Xenopus tropicalis: one gene and its partner. Each later gene encodes a partner of the first gene's protein in a complex. Links are inferred from orthologs where the notes say so. Each region holds a gene or a part of one and is shown on either strand. Other genes may lie near its edges.

The links.
Region 2: the proteins of snap29 (region 1) and vamp8 are in contact, whole or in part, in a crystal structure (PDB 4WY4), measured with the Homo sapiens proteins. The link is inferred for Xenopus tropicalis from reciprocal best matches to the Homo sapiens genes SNAP29 and VAMP8. Residues at the interface, in NP_004773.1 of Homo sapiens: Leu206, Leu209, Ser210, Leu213, Leu216, Lys217, Ala220, Leu221, Met223, Gln224, Ile227, Glu228, Gln230, Asp231, Leu234, Leu237, Thr238, Val241, Asp242, Leu244, Asp245, Ile248, Lys249, Thr251, Glu252, Val255, Arg256, Leu258; in NP_003752.2 of Homo sapiens: Leu16, Glu19, Val20, Val23, Ile26, Met27, Gln29, Asn30, Arg33, Ile34, Arg37, Asn40, Leu41, Leu44, Lys47, Thr48, Asp50, Leu51, Thr54, Ser55, His57, Phe58, Thr61, Ser62, Val65, Lys68, Phe69.

What each region holds. Positions count from the first base shown.
Region 1 is NC_030677.2:153,633,199-153,635,709, reverse strand, and holds the end of snap29 (synaptosomal-associated protein 29), read left to right. Parts: intron 1-1,150; coding exon 1,151-1,311; 3' UTR 1,312-1,946; downstream 1,947-2,511. UniProt on the Homo sapiens protein: SNAREs, soluble N-ethylmaleimide-sensitive factor-attachment protein receptors, are essential proteins for fusion of cellular membranes.
Region 2 is NC_030679.2:125,658,301-125,662,134, reverse strand, and holds the end of vamp8 (vesicle-associated membrane protein 8), read right to left. Parts: intron 1,355-3,834; coding exon 1,190-1,354; intron 1,040-1,189; coding exon 896-1,039; 3' UTR 477-895; downstream 1-476. UniProt on the Homo sapiens protein: SNAREs, soluble N-ethylmaleimide-sensitive factor-attachment protein receptors, are essential proteins for fusion of cellular membranes.

The DNA of each region.
Region 1 (2,511 bases):
ATGTTTAAATTATAAAGTATAATGAACTCCTGGGGATCGTTTTGGATTCCCCATTTTCCTTTTTTTTTTAAAAAAAAAAAAATCTTCATCTGAAATGCACATACCCCCTGCCTCGTATTAATGTTCTAAATTGGTTTATTTGATAAGGCTGGTCTGTCTGGCCATGATATTCCATTAAAATTCTTTGCTGTCAAGTTGTAAAGGTAGGTGGACCTTTCACACATCTGGCAATTTAAATATGGTATTGCATGCTTTGGCATCTGGATTACTATAGGCTCTGAGGATCATTAACTACCAATCCTACATTTACTATTATCAGTATTACAATTGCTTTTTAAATTACTGAAATGTGTGCCTTTGCCCTAATGGGGTAACCCAGTGTCTTTTTACATAATAACACTGAAAGGATTTGTGTGGTATAAGACTGGGAGTGAAATAATAAGAGAGCTGCTCTTCAAATACCCCTTTGGCCTGTCTACAAAACCATTATGACTGCTAAAGTGATACTGACACGAAAAAAAAACTTTTTAAAATATAAATCTACATAAAAAGTTGCCTATAGGTCGTGTTGATCATTTTTTACTGATAGGGCTGCTTTTGTAAGTAATTGTTACTTGAAATCCCAAAACCTGACTGTTTTGCCAGCCTGACTGTCCCTTCTCAGCCTGTCAGTTATAGCTTCTAATGCTAACGGCCTCCTGCTGGACAAATATGGCCGCCCCCTCATAGAGGAACATGGGGGATCAGATAGGGAATGTAAAAGCTTGGACAAATACTTTTATGGCAAAATTATAAATAGCATGCAAAGACAATGTTATGACAGATGTAAAAATAATTTCATTTCTGGTGTCAGTATCTCTTAACAAATACTTCCTGTTTTGGCATATCTTTCATAAACAGTTTGGAGGATTGCGACTCTAATTACCAACCAACTAATCACATTAAGAATCTATTGGGAAAGAAATAGGCTCCCAACAGATTTTAATGACTGATTCTAGGCATCAAGGCTACCATTTATAGATGACCTGGTTAAAGCTAAATGACAAGGTGTAACCCATACACCGTATTTTTTTTTTCCATACCTACTAATATTGCTGCATTTTAAAAATAATAATACTAATCCTAAGGTTGTGTTATTCCTTTCTTCCAGATGACATGTCTTTAGGTTTGGGTCGCCTGAAAAACCTTGCACTAGGACTTCAGACAGAAATCGATGACCAGGATGAGATGCTTGGGCGCCTAACTGGCAAAGTAGATAAGATGGACTTAAACATCAAGACTACAGACAAGCGGATTCGCGAAGAGCTATAAAAGACAAATTTCAGACTTGACCAAGACCGACTCTTGAGTTTTATTCTTGTGGTTTTTATAATGTTATGCAGTTTTTTTTTTTTTTGTTTTTTTTTATACTGGGACATAAATATCCCACACATCCCTATCTGAATCTTATATCTTCTGTATAACTATACATTACATTCGTTAGCATTAAATGTAGATGATGTTTTGCAGTATTATTACTAATATAGATCCTTATTAAGATATAAAAATGAATTGTCTTACTATTGGAATTGTATTGTAGTGATTGGCAGTTTGTTATAGCTCTGGATCTGAATAAAGTATTTGAGTTCATTTGCTAGGTATTACCTTACTGCTATATGACAGAATAGACATATGAACATGCCTTTATTAAAACTGCAATATTTTACACATGCTCGTAACATAGGGTTTAATGGGCCCTGCCATATGCCACTTTCTTATTACCCTTATTATTTTAATCTAGTGTTCTGAAACTTTGTGTATAAATATGTTTATAAATTTATGTGACACTCCCGTAAACCATACTGTGAATATTTTATCAGTTTACTTGTTAAGTTAAAAAAAAAAGCCTAATAATCTTGCCTGTTATTATTTTAACTAACTTGTTTAATATATTATTTGCTTTCTGATTTTGTGCCATTTGTCTTCTTTAGACAAATTTGAGTCTGTAGACTTGTTTCTCTGCCTGACATTTCAGATAATTTATTCATACTCCCTTATACTTATTAAATGTTTTGGACATAGTAATCCTTATTTCCCCTTTTGTATTATTAGCACACTTGGGCATATTTTAAAGCTGTGTAAAATATTACATGAGCAATAACACCATGCACCCTTGTAACTATCAATTACAAAGTTGTAATCATAATCAAAACGGGGCACATGTGCTTCAGATAAAATCAGTGGTAAAGAATTTATAGCAGCTGTTGAAGGCAAATGTGCCTAGCTTTTTAGTAGCTGTACATTAACATATATACTGTATATCTTTAAGCAGTACAAGCTATGATAACATCTGAGCCTGTGTTTCACTGTCAAATGCATATATGTTTGAGGGCGTGTTTAAAAAGGCCACTTTGCATACTAGACTGAGAAGTAGCACAATAATCTTGTACAGCAGCATTTTTACCTAGACATAATATATTGATAAATATAAAAGATTATTTGGCTACTTGATGCAGGGTTGCATGTCCTATA
Region 2 (3,834 bases), on another chromosome or scaffold:
CATTCACTTCTTCTCTGAATACATACAGATTTACCCAAGTTATTTAGGAAAGATTCCAATGTACGGAAAAAGAATTTACCGAGCCTCAAATGACTACTACGAGCAAGTAATAATAACAACATATTAAGACTCTAGAACCCAACTGATAATAAGAGAATGCATATTATAGCTAGTTAGATACAATCTACCCTTATATACAAAAGAGACATGTCCCCTACAGTGGCATTATAGATAAACTGTTAATTCAGATTTCCCAGAAATTTCTGCAAACAAATTCAAACAGAAGCAACTCTAAGTAGCCGAGAGGGGTTGATCAACAATGTGTACACCAGTGAATGAGCAGGATTCCCATATCAGATTATACACTGGGTGGCAGCAATGTATCATTTGGGGCTTAAACTAATGAATAAAGGCAAGAATGCAAAACATGCATGGGTTTAAAAAAAAATAATTGGTGAAAGTGTAGAAGTGGTAGATATTACACTTTTATCTAGTCCATAACGGTAATGGTGTACAATGGTAATGGTGTACAATGAGTACAAGAACTTAACCAAAAACATATCACCGGAAACAAAGTGGGAAATGGGCTGCAAGTAGGAATGAAATAATATACCTAGATATTTTTATTTGCCATATTGAGAATCAAACCTTTATGTGTAGGAAGAAAATATACACTCATTTGGTATGCAGACCCCACTGGATCTAGGTGTGACCTGAAACAGGCCAACACATAAGGAGAAAATGAATGTAGCCAATCAGAGGCATCCAAAGTATAACAACACAAGTCTGATTGGCCTCTCTCCATTGGCTTGAGGAGAGCTCATCAGGCAGGAGTAAGTGAAAGGTAATCATGAGTCCTCATTGGCAGAGCAGCCTGGTTGGCGAGTGACAATCTTTATGTGGGGATGACTCCAGTGGCGAGGAGGATGATGAGGAGTACAATAATTCCAACCACCACGCAGATTATGGCAATCATCTTTGCGTTTTTCCACCAGTACTTGCGGGCAACCTTCTGGGAAGTGGTCTTGAAGTGTTCAGACTGGGTGAAAGGAACAGACAAAACAAGGTGAGGCAGTGATAGAGCGAGTACAGAGAAGGATGATGGGCAGAATAACAGTGTAGGTAGTGGAGAACTAAGATGGGGCTGGAGAGGGATTTAGATGGGATGCCTATGGCTATGGGCACTTACGCTAGCTTCCAGGTCTTCTGTTTTGTTCCTTAGATGATCCAGATTCTCTCCCCGTGCCAGAATTCGCTCCACATTTTGGGACATGATTCCCTTTACGTCGTCCACCTGACTCTGGAGATCCCTCACGCGTTCAGGGGCCGCTGGGGCATTTGCCCCTCCCATATCCTGCCAAAGTAATCAATAATGAAATAGGGGCAGAAATCTGCAAAGACCCAGGATACAGAATCACACATGCTGCCACTCTTTTACAGTTAATAGGCAAAAAATAATCAGTAGAATTTGTTTTCCCTATAATGCTGTAAGAGCTGTGGCACATGTATGGTTAAGGTCAGCCATACAATTCCACAGAAATGGGATACCCTGCAAGAAGCTGGCCAGACATAAGATCCGCTTGTTTCTTTCCCCGATATGCCCACCTGTGTTTCTTTTGATAGAGGACTCAGAGCAGCATTACTATAAGTGATATGGCTGTATTTACGTAGACCTTTCTGATAAAGGTTTCTTTAAAAATCCTGATTAAGTTTTTACCTTTCTTTCTCCTTTAGGGCTCTGGCACACGGGGAGATTAGTCGCCCGCGACAAAACTCCCTGTTCGCGGGCGACTAATCTCCCCGGATTGCCATCCCACCGGCAAAAATGTAAATCGCCAGTGGGATGGCAAACGCAGCGGCACGATTTCAGTGAAATCGCGCAAGTTGCCTCGAGAGGAAACTTGCGCGATTAAATCGCGCCGCCGCGTATGCCATCCCAGCGGCGATTTACATTTTCGCCGGTGGGATGGCATTTCGGGGAGATTAGTCACCCGAGACACAGGAGATTTGTCGTGGGCGACTAATCTCCCCGTGTGCCAGAGCCCTTAACATTAAACTAAGCTTTATATTCTGCAGCCTCTCCACTTTAGCATTTTAGCCGCTACCTGCTTGCTAGGGCCTAATTTACCCTAGCAACCAGACAGTGGCTTGAATAAAAGAGCGTAAAATAAATTGGAGAGGGCCAGAACAGAATGATAAGTTATAAAGTAACAATAACAATTGTATAACAATACTAGTTTAACCTCACAGAGCAATAGTTTTTTTGGCGCCGGGTTCTGTGACCGGTAGATTGGATTTTTAACTGTAGCTGAACAGAAAGAAGTAAAGAAGCTAAGACATTTGGATGACCGTGGATGGGATTTTCTTTTTTGTTAAAGTATGTGCACATAATGTCAATGCTGAGAAGGGGAACTCTGAATTACATCAAGCACTATGGCGAAAATGTTTCATCCTGGAAGTGACACCAATACACATGCTTACAGACTGGCCTAAAGCCTGCTTAACGCTCACTCAGCATACACACTATCTCCACTGACTCCACTGATTCTAACACACGTATGTGCAGTAAGCATTTGCTTAAAACGGGACAGGAGCCCGGGGGCCATTTCTGGCACAAAACAAGAATAGGAAGCCAGCTTCACTTTGGCACTTCCTGAGGCTTTCTGATCCCAATGAACTTCAAAAGGAGTTGATAAAACTAATTACCAGCCCACTGAAAAGCCCTGCATAATAAGCTGTTTTAAAGGCTGCTGCTTAGAGAAGGGAAGGATTTGTTTGCTCAAAAGTAGTTAGGAAGATCTAAACAAACTGCCCTGTTTATAAAGCAAGTGAGGGTAAGTTCAATGAAAATTTGTTTTTATATTGGCAAAAAATACAGATTTTTTAAATTAAAAAACACGCAGAATTTTTTTTAAACACAACTTGGTTTTTGGTGTATACGCTCCCCAGTCCCAATAAACTTAAAGGACCATTGTTTTTTTTTCAATCCAAATTAAATATGTAAGTATAAATAAAACTTTAAGGTGAATCAGCCCTTTAAATTGGCTTGGTGTGCTGTAACAACTCCCTGCCAAGAGCTCCGAGCATCCAACCCCACAAACCGCTGTGACTTCCTGATCACTGCATGGCCGGTATTTCCCATGAGATATATCCTCAAACCTTCGCCACACATACCAAACCTTCCATAGCTCAGATGCTAATGCATTGCTAATGCCAATGCTATTTACTGTGACCTCATCAAAACAGAACGCCTTTATTTCTTTGTCCTTTATCCACCACGGCAGACTTTGTTGCTCCAACATATCATTATAGTTTGCAACTAAACAATTCTAGCGCTGCCATTTAGGCTGGTGGCACATGAAAAATTCTCTACCAGGTAAGAAGAAGATTCTGCCACCTCCAATTCACTTCTTTGAGAAATGCATGACAACATTAGTACACAGAATTTTTGGGCCCAAAGACGCACAGAAGCGCTAGCACCACAGACGTCATACACTCTATAACAACAGGGATCCCCAACCTTTTTTACCCCTGAGCCACATTCAAATGTAAAAAGATTTGGGGAGCAACACAAGAATGGAAAATGTACCCGGTAGTGCCAAATAAGGACTGTGATTGGTTATTTGGTAGCCCCTATGTGGACTGTCAGCCTACAGGAGGCTCTGTTTGGCAGTACACCTGTTCTTTACCCAACCAAAACTTGCCCCAAGCCAGAAATTTAAAAATAAGCCCCTGATTTAGGGTTACTGGGAGCAAGATGTTTCTCCTGAGCCACTGGTTGGGGATCACTGCTCCATAGCAAAGCTATGCTGGGAAGAATAAGACACATGCCAT